Linked DNA regions of Tamandua tetradactyla. The main gene of each other region encodes a partner of the protein of the gene in region 2 in a complex. Links are inferred from orthologs where the notes say so. Each region holds a gene or a part of one and is shown on either strand. Other genes may lie near its edges.

Region 1 (7,029 bases), on a different chromosome or scaffold from region 2:
ATAAAACCTGAATGGATGAGGAGTTGCTTCTTACGGAGGAACAAAGAAAGTTGTTTCTTTAGATGGAATCTACCCCTGGTAAAGATGCCATGAACACTGTGAAATGACAGCAAAGGATTTGGAATAGGACATCAACTTAGTTGATAAAACAGTGGCAGGGTTTGAGAAGACTGACTTCCATTTTGAAAGAAGTTCTATTGCGGGTAAATGCCATCAAACAGCATCGCATACTACAGAGAAATCCTTCATGAAAGAAAAAGTCGATTGATGTGGCAAATTTCACTGTCTTTTTTAAGAAATTGCTACAGCCCTCCCAATCTTCAGCACCCACTCCCCAGGTTGGTCAGCAGCCATCCATTTCGAGGCAAGACCCTCTACCAGCAAAGAAATGATGACTCTCTGAAGGCTCAGATGATAGTTGGCATTTTTTAGCAATGAAAGCATTTTTTAATTGTGAAAAATAACATATATACAAAAAGAAGCTGTCAATTTCAAAGCACACCACAACCATTAGTTATAAAACAGATTCCAGAGTTTAGTATGGGTTACTGCTCCACAATTTCAGGTTTTTACTTCTAGTTCCGCTACTAGAGACTAAAAAAAATCAATATAATGATTCAGCAATCACATTCATTTGTTAAACCCTACCTTCTCTGTATAATTTCACCATTACCTTTGATCTCTCTTCCACTCTTTAGGGGTATTTGGGCTATGCCTATTTTAATTTTTTCATATTGGAAGGGGTTGTTAATAATAAGGGGTAGGAGGATGGAACTAGCTGATGTTCTGGAAGGGCTGGCCCCTCTGTGTTTCAGAACTTATTTTGAGTTTGTAGGTTTCTGGAAAGTTACCCTAGTGCATGGAAGCATTGTAGAATCTTATATGTTGCCCTAGGTATTCTTTAGAATTGGCTAGAATGGTTTTGGTTGAGGTGTGCCAAGTTATGATAGGTAGCAATGTTTAACTGAAGATTGCACTTAAGAGTGACCTCCAGAGTAGACTCTCGGCTCTATTTGAACTCTCTCAGCCTCTGATACCTTATTTGTTACACTTCTTCTCCCCTTTTTGGTCAGGAAGGCATTGTTGATCCAACAGAGCCAGGGCCAGGCTTATCCCTGGGCAATGAAGTATTTTTAAATTAAGGTATCTACATTGGCTTTTTAGACATTCATTTATTCACACTTAATAGATTACAGTATAATGTAAACCTAATTTTATATGCACGAAAACCAACAAATTCTCGGGACTCCACCAATGCAAGGTGGTGGTGGTGGGGTGGTGTATGGGAATCCTGCATTTTATGCACGCCTGGTCTGTAAACCTCCAACGACTCCAATATAAAAAAATAAATTTGTGACTCGCTTTATTGCAATATATGCTTTATTGGTGATCTGGAACAAAACCCACAATATCTCTGAGATATGCCTGTAATAATTCAGAAAAGGATTGAACAGAGGGAAGGAGGGGCAGTATCATACCTAGCACAATTGACAGCCAGAGCACATTACTTGTTAACTCTCCCTCTGTTTTACAACAAAATTATTTTCAGTAATCATCATGAAATGAAACTATAAGCTGTGTTGAAGGCATTAAATATTTCAAAATAGATCTGGCCACTGTTTCAATAACCTCTTCTTTTGCTTTTTAAATTTTTCTTTGTTGTGCTCTACTGGCTTGGTGAGTTTTTATGTTGAGCCAATGCCCAATGCCCCCTTCACATTCATCTAGCTTCTGCAGTGAAGGGATTTTGCAGGGGTCCTTAAGCTTCCAAGTTAGCTGACCTTAAGAAAGGGAGATGGGGTGGGTCACGGTGGCTCAGCAGGCAGAGTTCTCGCCTGCCATGCCAGAGGACCCGGGTTCAATTTCCATGCCTGCCCATGAAAAAAACAAAACAAAACAAAACAAAAAATTATCTGGGTAGGCCTGACCTAGTAACATGAGCCTTTTAAAAACCAGACGTTCCTCTGGCTGGTGGGAGAAGAGAGAACAAGAGATTCAAAGCACAAGGGGTATTCCACGTGCCATCTCTGGCTTGAAGATGGAAGAGGCCAAAGGTGTGGGTGGATTCTAGGAGCTGAGAGTGACCCCTAGCTGACAGTCAGCAAGAAAATGGCCCTATAGAGGCAGAAAACGTATTCAGGTAACAGCTTGGAAGAGCGTGGAAGTGGATTCTTCCCCCAAAATTCCAGAAATGAATGCAGTCTAGTCAACAACTTGATTTCAGCCTGGTGAGACTGGGGTCCTGCATGCCCAGACTGCTTTTCTGCAGAACTGAGCTAACAAATGGGTGTTGTTTTAAGTTGCTAAGATTGTGAAAATTCATCACATAGCAACAGAAAATTAATAACCCCTGCTGCCTGCACCAAGATGGACTTCTCCCATCCTCTACCCTTGCTACTCACTAGCAAGAGGCCTCGGGGGACAGTAAGGCGGTTTTGCCTTCTCATCCCTCCCCGGAATTTGGTAAATAAGTAGACCATATCCCACTCCGTGCTGCCCGGCTGAGGCCAAGATGGGCTGCACCCATCCTGCTCGGCCCCTGCACTTCATCTCATCCAAGGTGCCCTCTAGAAGTCTTTGGCCTCCTTGGTGCAGAGTCTGAGAGTTGCTGCTCTGGGGAGACCCTTACTCTCCCTTATCACTTCCCTAAGGTTGGATGGTCAAACTGTCACCATTTTTTTTTTGATGTTGTAAATAAGGCTATAACGAAGATCTTTGGGCATAAAACTTCCTCTGGATTTTGGATGGCTTCCTTAGGATAAGTATTATTGAGTCCAGAAGAATGGATACTTTTTTGGCTCCTGATATGTATTGCCAAACGATTTTCAAGACTCTACCAGACAGGCATCCTGTCACCAGAGTATGCCACCTAAACTCATTTAATCTAAGCTGAGAGAATGGAGATTCTGGCTCAAAGAATTAGGGGAAAATGTGCGGGTGGGAGGTGTTCTCTTCTCAGCGTGTTCTCTCCCTTAGCAAAAGCTAGAAATGGATGGTTATGCTGTTCCCTCCCCAGCCATGACTACCTTGAAACCAATTTTCCAGCTGTGGGACTACAAAGAAAAAATTAACAGGGACTGCAGAAATAAAAAAAGGGAATGGGGAGCTGGGGTGGGGGTGGGGGACAATTCCATATACTAACTACTTCAAGTTATCAACCTCACCCCTACCTCCTCCACCTTCTTCCACGGGATGGCTGACTGATACTTTTCCATTACCCTTACCCTGACTATAAAACTTAACCAAAGCCTGCTTCCCATCAGAGCTGAGTTCTCCTTCTCCCCTACCATAAATAAATCATCCTTGCCTGTTGAACACTGCCCAGTAAAGTTTTCCTTGGACAGTTATCAGGTCCGCATGCCCAGCTCCACTCCCCCTGCTGGAACCCTCCAACTGGAAATCCCAAATGGCATCTCAAACCCAACGTGTCCCAAATGGAATAATTTCTGTCACCGTCCCAGATCCAGAAAACAGAACGACCGCTGTGGTAGAGGCCCACGGTGGTAACCATGGCAACCAGACTGCCCACCGAAGCCACCCTTTCAAGATAGAGCAAGGGCACAACGAGGACAGAGGTGACAAGGGAGCAGAGGAGGTAAAAATGTACTGCAGGGGCCGAAACGCACTGGAACTCATGTTCATCACAGCGCCTGCGCACCCAGGCAGAAGTCAAAAGGGTGCTGACCTTGGCCGAGCAGAAGTTCCGGAAAACATCAGCGGCTGCCGCGAAAACGCAGCCCCGGGGCTGGCGGTCCCGGCGCGTTGCCCCCTCGAACCTCGGCTCTTGCGCCGGAAGAGAGACAAACTGCGCAGCCGCCGTAGGGCTGGTTGGCCGCCACGCGGGGGCGCGCGAGCCGACGTGTTGGCGTTTGTACGCACGCGCTCTCCAACGCGCGTGCGCGCGCGGCGGCCCGGCCTTGAGGGGTGGGGGGGTGAGTGGAGGAGAAGGGGCGGGGTTGAACCCGACTTCGCGCATGCGCACGCCGCACGACCCATTTGGCGGGATTTTGCCGGCTGTTCGTTTCTGCCCGCGTCCCTCGGGGGTTCAGTGGGATCTTTTAGGAAGCGAGACGAGCTCCCCAGGAAAGCAAACTTCTTCCCGTTTACTGCTCGCTCCCTTTGGGATGCTCGGAAGCTCCCCACACATCTTCAGAAGTGCTTTCCTGTGACTGACGGCTCGGGCCTCCTGCCTCCCTGAGGTTTGGGGCCCTCTGGTCACCTTGCGTTTCGATCCCCCGGAGGGCGACAGGGTAAGAGGCACCTTACCCGGTTCGACGGTCTCCCACGCCCGCGAGTTGCTTGGGCTCGGAGGTGGAAGCTGGGTGGGCTCGGCTGGCCGGCCAAGCTCCTGGGTCACCATGTCAGTGTCCGCCCAGAACCTGGCGGAGGAGTTGCAGATGTTCGGCCTCGACTGCGAGGAAGCTCTGATGGGAAGATGTGAGTACTCACCCCCCTCCGCGGGCCCCCGCCGTGGGCCTTCCTCTCCCCCAGGTCCCCAAGTCACCTGGAACATACAGGGCAGCGCTTCCAACTTCACCTCCCCCTAACCCGAATTCTCGGTGGTTGTGAGATGCAAAATTAAACAGTGGTTTGAGGTAAAGGATGTGGACACCTTGAAATGCTGACGGGGTACTGCTTGAGTCCCCCAAAATAAGAATATGAGGCACGGTTTTAACTCAGTGCAGTTACAGATTGATGGAATTGGGTCGCACTAGGCTCAGACTAGGCCCCAGTGACATCCCTCATAACAGAGCAGATAGGGGATTTTTGAAGTGGAGCTTGCTATTCCTGGCTCCTCTCTTTCCATCCTATACTTTAAACTTCTGCTGATGTATTGTTTCCCTCATCGAGGCTGCTGGTGGTCTGTGCAAATATGCCTCCCCTTTTGGGGGTGGGGGTGGATGGAGATTGTTCCTAAAATTGAATTTTAGCTTTGGAAGGGACTTTGAAGGAACTGTCAGCTGCTTTTGTTTATAGATGGAGAAATAGGCTGGGAAAGTTAAGTACATGAGCTGGTCAGTGAACCCGGGCTTCCCGCAGTCCTGTCCAGGGCTCATTCCATCATATTCTGCTCTAGAGCAGTGTAAGGAGTTGTTTGAAGCAGACATAAAAATCTCAGGAGATGTGAAAATTCTCAGTCTCAGAATCAGGACCAGTGTGCACCTGCCTCAACCGGTTGTCAACACTTTAAACTTCTTTGTCTGTATTTAAAACCAGAACTCAAATATATTAATTTAGGAGAAATTCCTTTCGCAGAGACTAGAATTTTCCCAAGTTCTTAAGCCCAGAGTATTCTCTTCCTGAAAGGAGACTTATATGAGAAACCCAATCATAGCCAGAAGTTTATTTGATGAACATGAAATCAAAACGAGAAATTAGTTATGTGAACCAAATATGTAAAGACTTCAGCCCAAAACCTTGGCGGTGGCATCTTTGATTTCATAATCATTATCTTCAAGGGGAGGCTTTGAGGTTGCCTGACAATCATACCATATTTCCCCCAGTCAGTTCACTCTGGGTGACTCTTTTCCACCTTCTCCTTAAACAACCTCTTCCCCAGTCCTCACTCTCAGCTGATGAATTCACTTCCTGTTTTGCTGAGAAAATGGAAGCAATTAGAAAACTTCCATAAGCCACCACCTTCACTTCCTCCCACTCACTTGCCTCTGTGCCATATATCTAGGCTTTGGTCCTCTCACAATATACTCTCCGTATTCCTAACAGAAGCCAAACACTCCCCTGAGTCCTAAATCTCATTCCCTCTCATGCAAGGATATTACTCCATAATTCACCCCTCTTACCTATTTTGTCTTTTTCTCTCCACAAGATTTTTTTCCTATTGTAACCATTGCCCTGCTGGCAATGGGGCCAGCTGAGCCCCGATCCAAATTTGTTAGTCTTGAAATTAAAAGAATTTAGAGACAAAAGGGCCAGTAGGTATAGGTATAAAGTTTATTAAAGAGAAGAAGAGAGTGGCAGAATTCTCACCTGCCATGCCAGAGACCGGGGTTCGATTCCTGGTGCTTGCCCATGAAAAAGAAAAAAAAAAAAGAGAGCGAGTACGCATTAAAGAGGTTAGCACAGATGTGCCCAAGGGAGGGACACGCACTGAGTGGAATGGGCTAGCTTGTTTTATAGGAAAGCTTTGTTGGTAGCAGCTTTCCATAGTAATCTTTGAGCACCAGGTGTCTTCTTGAGGCAGATTCCTTTGGTGGCCTTTGAGCGCCAGTCAGGTGTTTTCTTTCTTTTAGGAAGTTTTAGGAGGAGATAGAGGAGGAGATAGCTAGGTCCTGGTTTGCTGTCACATACTTAAAATTTGTCTTTGAGCAAATAGTTAACAATCTTTATGACCCTGTGCTTTCTATCATTCCCAGAATTTTGCAGTCTTTTATGGTTTGGGGAGGTTTGGAGACTTTAGGAAAATTTTTGTCCCAGGAACTTCGCAGCTAAAATTTGGAACTTTGTATTCATTCCTTTGGAGCTAGATAAGAAACAAGGGACTTGCGGTTGTCTCTTAACTCTTTCAGAGCTGAATAGGAAACCAGGGACTTACAGTTGCCCTATTTTATCCTGCTTCACTATTAGCTTGAAAACATGGTTCTTACTTCCATCTCTTAAAACACTCTCTTGACCCCTCTTGCCAACTGTTGCCCAGTTCTCTCCTTCCCAACTACAGCAAAAATCCTCAAGATGGTTGTCTAGTCTCCTTATCTTCAGGTTTTTCTTATCCCACTCTCTTAAATCTATTTCAGTAAGCTTTTTCACCCCTGCCAATTAACTAAAACTGCTTTGTCAAGGTTACCTGTGACCTACACTTTGCTAAAGCCAGTGATGGAGTCTCAGTCCTCTTTCTGAACTGTCAGCAGCATTGGATGCCATTTGTCATTTCTTCTTTAAAACACTTTTTCTCTTAACTTTTCAGATTCTGCTCCTAGTTTTCCTCGTACCTGGCTTGTTCTCACTCTTTGCAGATTCATCCTCATGACACTGGAGCACCCCACATCTTGGACCACTTCTCATTTCTAGATA
Region 2 (7,696 bases):
CTGCACTCTGCCCCTGCACTCTCCCCCTCCCCCCAAAAAGAAGCAAACAAAGAAAGGAAAAACAAACAAACAAAAATTCAACAAATGGTGCTGCAATAACAGGATACTAACATGGAAAAAGAATGAAATGTGACCCCCCCCCCCACCATGCAGCATACCAAAGAAAAAAAGAACATAGTACTGAGAAAATGTAGAAAAAAGAGCCATTAAATTCTGCATGAGAAATCAGGAAAGGTTTCACAGAGAGATTTCAAATATAGGCCTAGAAAGAAGAGTAGATCTCACCATTAGAGAACAGGGTAAAAAGTGGCACAAACAGAAGAAAAGGCATGACCCAAATTAGAGGTATAAAAATGCAGCATGTATTCAGAAACCAAGAGATAAAGTCAGTATTAACACCTTCAGGTAAGTTCAATGTGAGAGTGTAGAGTGAGTGGAAGAACCAGATTTAGAAAAGCAGCACATCCCAGCTCTGCCATTTACTGGGCTACATCAGACCACCAGTTAACCTCTCTGAGCCTTGATTTGTTTTGTTTTTAAGCTGCCCAGCTTCTGAAACTGGTTGTGAGATTCCCTCCTGACAAGTCTTGCTGGGAGAGAGAGCCCACATCCCACTACTTAAGCTGAAAAGGCCAGATGCCCTTTCCCAGATTCCCTAGCAGCTAGGGCAGAAGCATATAAACTAGGCTCTACTAGTTAGAAACACCTTCTCAGACTTTAAATTAGAAGCTAATGTCACAAGGAGGTGGAAGGGGGCCTTAAAGAAGATTATGAAAGTAGCAACAGTTAGAGGAGGATTGAGTGTCTGGAGCAACAACGCCCAATGCTGCAAGGTACAAGCTAAAGCATCAAGTAGCTGGCCATTTGAGAATTACCTCCTCATTGAACCAGTTTAGTAGCACAATTTTAAGCACTGTTCCTGGCTAAGCAACCCTCACACTGGCTCTCCTGTCCTCCTGGAGTTTCTGTGAAAACCCCAATAACATTCTAATAAATTATTTTTCTATTTAAATCAGTTAGAATTGGTTCCTATAGCTTACGCTAAGGATTCTGACTAATGCAGAGCCTCAGCGCCGTCATCTATGAAATGGGGATAATCATGTCTGCTTTGTAAAGTTGGTAAGGATTAAATGAAGATGCTTATCTTACTTTGTACCTAGCAATACAAGAGGAGTCCGTGTGTGTATAGAGATGCAGGGCAGTGACATATACATATATATGTACACACTCATTCCTGGCAGTACAATGCTCTAGCTTTTAGAAAACAGAAATAAAGCAAAACAACTTTCTCAGGGAAGTCTCAACATAGTACTGCAAATAATTAAATGTTTATCATCTCAACTGCACTAAGGACAGAAACCATGTCGAGTCTACCCACCGTTTAACAGAGCCTGGCAGAATGACTATGCCTAGTAGGTACATAATAAATATTTGCTGGATGAACAAATAAATGAACTATTACATCTGCGTTTTTGATCATTAAACTCTCCCTGGTCTCTTTTTATATATAATAGCAGCCAGCTATAGACCTTTCAACTTTTCACAGCATTGTCAAGGTACCCCATTCTAACACTTAAGAAAAAAAAGGCCTAGATTTTCCTTTTTGGGGTACGTTTCCGATGTTTCGTGTAGTTAGCAAAAATAATAATAAGCATGAAAAAACCCAAGAACAAAAGTTTATGTGATTCACAATTACCATTTATAATACCACCATCTGCCCCAAAAGCAGATAGACTCACCTCCAACAGTCTTTCAGCCAACAATCTTTCAGTTCAGTCTGCTCTAAAGGAAAGATTCCAGTCACAAGTGCCCAGCAACTACTTAATCAAATACCATGACTTAAAAGGGGTCTCAAGATTGCACAGTATCATCCAGAGTGATTTCTTGATGTTCAGGGATGACGTACAGTTTTTAGAAAGAAAGGCTTAGTGGCAAATCACTGATAGAGGGCTGCAAAGACACACTCACACCTTACATCCCATTTGTAATCCAGGCCAGTTAACGCTCCAGAATAAATTGTCTTAAAAAACGGAAGGCTAGAACAAATTGAAATGTGTGATTCACAACTAGGTGAATGCAAAAGGAAGCTGATTAGGGAGCAAGTTCTCATTAATGGTGATATATCTGAGTGGCAGGAGATATGAAGCTTGAGTAAGAAAGTGAAGCATTTGATTTTAAGTTAGGAGCTCAGCGAAGAAGTCACACTTTAGTTGAACACTGTTCAAAAATCAGAAATCAGACAAAGCCATTTACATTTTTTTATTCTATTTTTGGAAATAAAAAATCATTTGTAACTGAATGATACACAAGGCATCCAAAATGCTGCCCAACTGGTGCATTTTTTTTTTCAGAAACTTCACCCGAAATGACTAGATTGTGAACACTATTTCTATGCAGCACTTGAAAAACTTTGCACTGAAGCTGAAAGAAAAAACTGTTAATGCATAAAGTAGAAACCCATTACCTAAAAATACAAAATGCATTCGTATCTAGTGACAGCACTTAGAGCTTTCTTTCCTGTTAAGTTACAACACATAACAATTTTCCTCGCAGTTCTTAGAAAGGGGGGCGCACATCTATTCAATCCTAGCTCTTAAACGGATATTTGGCACCGAAGTAGTGAAACACTTTCAGCCAAGATAGTGCCCACACCAGTCTCAAAGATAGGCCCAACACGTGCGGTGCAAGTGACCAAAAGAAATAAAAATAAAGAAGGGCAAGTGCGGTGACCCTCAGTGACAGAGGTGAAGCAGCCTCCCAAACAGAAAAGACACGCAAGGTGTTGCACGGGTTTGCTAGAAGCAAATGGCCCTGGAAGAAAGCCCGGTCCTATACTGTAAGGTCTCCCGCCCAAGACGACGGTGGTCCACGCCACCCTGAGAAAAAAATTAGGGAGAACCCCCAAAATCTGCACCACCTGCACTCCTGCCGCAGTCCCCACACTCCCAACTAGACATCCCGCGCGCGAGGCCGTCCCTCACCGTTTGCCCCCGGCTCGCAGTCGTCGCCATGCACCGGCGCCATGGTTCCGAATCTCCCGATTCCGCGCCAACCAGCCCGAAACTGGCGCGGGGGCCGAAACAGGCGCCAGCCCGAAAGCCAATCAGCGGCTCCCGAGGCTGTGGACTTCCGCCCGGAAGGCCACTTACGTGCCGCCGCGCTGGGCCCCGCCCCTGGCCTTGCCGCGGGCTCGCGTTTGGCGCCCTGTGATGACCCCTTAGGGAAGGTTAGAGCTGAGCCGGGGCCGCTGGAGAGGAGGAGAAAGAAGCGGCCGGGCGCTGGAAAGGAGCCCTCTGGAGACTCGCTGCGCAGGCGCACGCATGCTGAAGGAAAAGACTTGGGCGCGTGGGAATAGAGGCTCCCTGGTTCTGAGAGTTGATTTTCTGGGAAAAGAGGCGCGGGCGGGCAGGATAGTGGGCGTGGTCGGACTGTATTTCCAGAAGCCTGGGAAAGCGACTGCCTCCTGCTGTGCGCTCTGAGTTTTGCTAGATACTTTGCCTCTCACATTGTTAAAGGTTGTTATGTGAATTTTTTTTTAATAAGCCACCACTTAAAGGTATATACACGACCCTAATCAAATGGCCAAAACAGCGTCACTAATAAGTAAGGGGCAATCTGACCTCATATGCCTCTGATACGATGCGCTTGAAAAAAAGAACATCACCTCTGTAATCTTGCAAAAAACGTTAAACCTGAATCTAACCGTGAGGAAACAATCAGACGTATCTAAAGTGTAGGACAACTTATAAAATATCTGTATTAAACTCTTCTAAAATGTTAACGTTACGAAAGACAAAAAAAGTGGTGAGGGGATCAGAGAGACAGAACAACTTGAGCCTTGATCAGAGCTTGCATATTAAAAACAAAGCTGTAAAGAATATTATTTGAGAACATTGGGGAATTTAATATAAGCTATTGTTAGAGCGGTGTTGAATTTCTTTGGGGTGATAAGTTTTGGTTGTGCAGGAGAATGTCCGTATTCTAAGGAGATGCTTAGGCGTGACATAATTGTCTAGCAAAGAGAGATAAAGCAAATGTGGCAAAACTTTTCTGTTCGTAAATAAAAAGTTAAAGGAAAAATGATACACAGAGTGTGTATTTTACTTCTTCGAGAGAAATTATCTTAATCACCCCAAAATGAACTCAGTTATGTTACTAAAGGCCGTGAATTCATTTACCCGATGTGCTCAATAACCAATTCCTGAGACACCGGGGTTTCAGAGAGAAAGAATTTTATTACTAGGTGCACAGTAAGAGAGCAGATGGCGTAGTGACTCAAAATCTGTCTCCTTGAACTGCAGCAATTCTGATAGTTTTATTATAGAAAAGATGGGTGAGGTTTAGGATAATGACCACAGTGGCCCCAGATGATATAATTAGAGGCAATCTAATTATTGAGCATGCACAGATTGATTACATGCTTAGTCACAGAACATGTGTAAGAAAATGGCAGAACGATGTATAGGTGACTTTTAGGTTAAAGTCTAAGCTACTGCACATGTCAACCCGATCCATTTTGCTTAGATCCAGTCTCGGTTCTCAAGATTACTTTGGACTTGGAGTGGGTTAGGTCTGGGCCTCAAGACCCTTCATTAATAAACATTAGGGGCTGTCTTTAGTAATGACAAGACTTCTAAAGTTAAAAACTGGATAACTCCGTATGAATGAAGGTTAGTCACAAGGTTTTTGCAATCACAGGGGCAGAAGATAAAGGCCATACGATCATTATCAGAGATCAAGGCAGCTGGGTTACAATTTAGAGATTTCAGTATTTTCCCTCTATCTTCTCCAATATACCAGAAAGCAAAAAGGACTGTCTATGTAATGATTCAGTAATCAAAATCATCCTTTAAATCCTGATTTCTAAATTATGCTTAGATAGTTCAATTTGAAGCAGGGGAGCAGTGCTGGCAGAAGAGAGTGGCTTTTGCGCTTTCACCCCCACCCCCATTCCACCCCAGCACATGCAAAGCCTCACACCTCTCTCAACCTGGCATATTCTAGGCCTCCTCCAAGTTTTAACCACCCCAAGGTTAAGCCTGCCACAATCCCCTAGGTTCTGGTCTAGATTATCTTCACAGCTATTAAAATGAGCAATTTTATTACCATTGGCCTTTTGGTGTTCTTATAAATATCCAGTCTGGTTGTCTTGGTTTCGTAGGGCTATTGTAACAAAGTACCATAGACTAGTTGGCTTAAAGAACAGAAATGTATTGTTTCTGTAAATTCTGTAAGCCAGTAGTCTGAGTCATGGTGTCGGCAGAGGCACGCTTCTTCTGTAGGGTTCTGACAGTGATAAGGAATCCATGAAGTTCCTTCGCTGGTAGCATAATTCAATCTCTCTCTCTGCCTCTGCCTCTCTATGTCCAGACTTCCTCTCCTTATAAGGGCACCAATCATATCAGAAAGTCCTGATTGGCCCATCTTAACTAATAATATCTTCAAAACTCTTACTTATAAATAAGTTCACAATCATAGAACCAGGGGTTAGGATGCAAACATATCTTTTGGGAGTGACACAATTCCATCCATTGTACTCTGCCCTCTGGACCCTAAAAAACCATGTCCTTCCCACATACAAACACATTCACCCCATCCCAAGATCCCAAAAGTCTTAAGCCATTTCAGTAACAATTCTAAATCCAAAGTCTCATCAAAATCAGCTAGATGGGTGTGGTCCATCCCGTGGCAAAATTCCTCTTAGTCTGTGGATTTGTGAAACCTAGAAAACAAGTTTCCAAAATACAATAGTGGGACAGGCATAGGGTAGATATTCCCATTATGGAAGGGAAAAATTGGAAGTAAAAAAGGATTCATGGGTCCCAAGCAAATCTGAACCCCAGCAGGGCAAATTCTATTAGATTCCAAGTTCTGAAAGTCATCTGTGGATTGATGCTATGTCTTTGAACCTGGTGGGATTCCATTACCTAGTAGCTTCCCAGGCCTATTAAATCAGACTTTCTGAGGATGGGACTCCAATGTACACCAAGGGTGAGACCAAGTGGTCTAGATGAGGTACTGCTGAACTTTTTCTATTTCTTTTTATTTATTTTCTTTAACTTTTTTCACCGATCTTTTGTAGTTTTTTAACACATCTATCTTGTACATATTTTGTTAACTTTATCCCTAAGAATGTCATGTTTTTAATGCTATTATAAATTCGTCTTGCTTTTTAAATTTCGATTTCCAATTGTTTGTGGCTAGTTAAGATTTTGATGCCACCCCAACACACATGACCCTCTTCTCCCTAATCCTAGCTAGAGCAGTTACACTACTGTGGTACAGAATTTTTTCTTTCTTTGGCATTTCTGCCAAGTTACCATTTATGCAGAACACTTCCACTGAGCCACCCTACATTTTGTTCTTCTTTGGAGACCAGTGTGAAGAGAAGCAAAGCCATTTCCAAATCTTGGTTTTGATTCCAGGTCAAGCAAGAAGTTTCCTAACTACTTAGATTTGTTTCAAGATATTTAATTTCATTTTCCTGAATCAAAAGTTTGGAAATGTTGTATGTTGCTCTTTTCCTCATATTTTCCTCGTATTTTCACAGGAGGTTCAACTGTGTTTCTCTTATAATCACAAATTGCATTGTCTATGGTCAAGGACATTTAGAGGTGGAAAAGTTCTTAAAAATCCTTGAACTTGTTGTCTCTCCAGCAAAATAACTTCTTCAGTGAGTTGTTGATTATATACCAAGAATGGAATGATCATATGGTAAGATTTTCATGTTTGTTTGTTGTTATGTTTTAAAAAAATTTTAATTATAAAATAATAATAATAATAATAAATTCTTCAGAGTCACAGTTGAAAATTAAGATTCCCTTTTACCTTGGTAAGTGAGAAAATGGTGAAAGGGTAAGGGAAAAAGAGAAAAATACAAGGAACTGGGTTCTAGGGTTAAGCACAAAAATGTTGTATCATGAAAGGCCTGCTGGCAGACAGCAAAAAGCCTGGGAAGTATATAGAGGTAATTACTAAACATATCATGTTCAGTTTCTTGCCAAGACAGTTCTACACCAGGCTGAAAGTTTTTCTGTTAGTGAGAAAAATGTCTGCAACCACCCCCCAGCAATCCATTAAAATAATTGTTATGAGGAAGTGAAACAATTTCCAAGTTACTTGTCTTGTCACTCTAGCATCTTTGAGAAGTTTTATTAATGGCCTAATGGATCAACAAACTTTGAAGACATTTCTGTGCTTGGATCTAAGTTGTTTTACCAAGTTACTGCAAAATAAAACTAATGTAGTAGTTTGAAGTTATATGAACCCCAGAAAAAAACATGTTTTTAAATCTAATCCACTTCTGTGGGTGTAATCCTACTGTAAGCAGTATATTTTTTTTTTTTTTTTTTTTAAAGGAAAGACAGAGAGAAGGAAGGAAGGATAGAAGGAAGGAAGGAAGGAAGAAAGGGAAACATCTTTAAACATTTTCTTGTTTCATATGTTGATCACTTCCTGGAAGATGGCGGCTTAGTAAGACGCGCGGATCTTAGTTTCTTCTCCAGGACACCTACTAGGGGAGTAGAAACGATACAGAAAGCGCCCAAAGCCACAACAGAGATAAAAAAGACAGCGTACCCCATCCTGGAACGGCTGGCTGGCTGAGAGAAGCAGCTCGGGTGAGATCGCCGAGGCGCGCGGGCCTTACCGGGCGGGGTGGCAAGCGGCCGGAGTTACTCCCTTCCCCCTTCCCGGG

The links.
Region 1: the proteins of POLA1 (region 2) and POLA2 are in contact, whole or in part, in a cryo-EM structure (PDB 8G99), measured with the Xenopus laevis proteins. The link is inferred for Tamandua tetradactyla from reciprocal best matches to the Homo sapiens genes POLA1 and POLA2. Residues at the interface, in NP_001082055.1 of Xenopus laevis: Gln548, Lys551, His553, Gln554, Asn555, Phe642, Glu645, Val646, Gln649, Asn652, Leu673, Gly675, Arg676, Phe679, Lys1137, Asp1141, Pro1143, Asp1144, Ile1321, Gln1322, His1324, Asn1325, Lys1326, Leu1328, Leu1329, Arg1332, Ile1335, Lys1336, Tyr1338, Tyr1339; in XP_018112289.1 of Xenopus laevis: Met280, Tyr281, Lys282, Phe283, Met284, Phe285, Gln286, Lys287, Leu288, Met289, Ile291, Arg292, Val295, Ser296, Ile299, Glu314, Thr316, Leu320, Pro321, Gln323, Glu324, Thr325, Val326, Gln331, Gly333, Cys334, Asp335, Ser336, Asn337, Gly338.

What each region holds. Positions count from the first base shown.
Region 1 is NC_135335.1:9,279,085-9,286,113, reverse strand, and holds the start of POLA2 (DNA polymerase alpha subunit B), read left to right. Parts: upstream 1-3,960; 5' UTR 3,961-4,358; coding exon 4,359-4,437; intron 4,438-7,029. UniProt on the Homo sapiens protein: Accessory subunit of the DNA polymerase alpha complex (also known as the alpha DNA polymerase-primase complex) which plays an essential role in the initiation of DNA synthesis.
Region 2 is NC_135353.1:149,485,113-149,492,808, forward strand, and holds the start of POLA1 (DNA polymerase alpha catalytic subunit), read right to left. Parts: upstream 3,082-7,696; 5' UTR 3,025-3,081; coding exon 2,982-3,024; intron 1-2,981. UniProt on the Homo sapiens protein: Catalytic subunit of the DNA polymerase alpha complex (also known as the alpha DNA polymerase-primase complex) which plays an essential role in the initiation of DNA synthesis.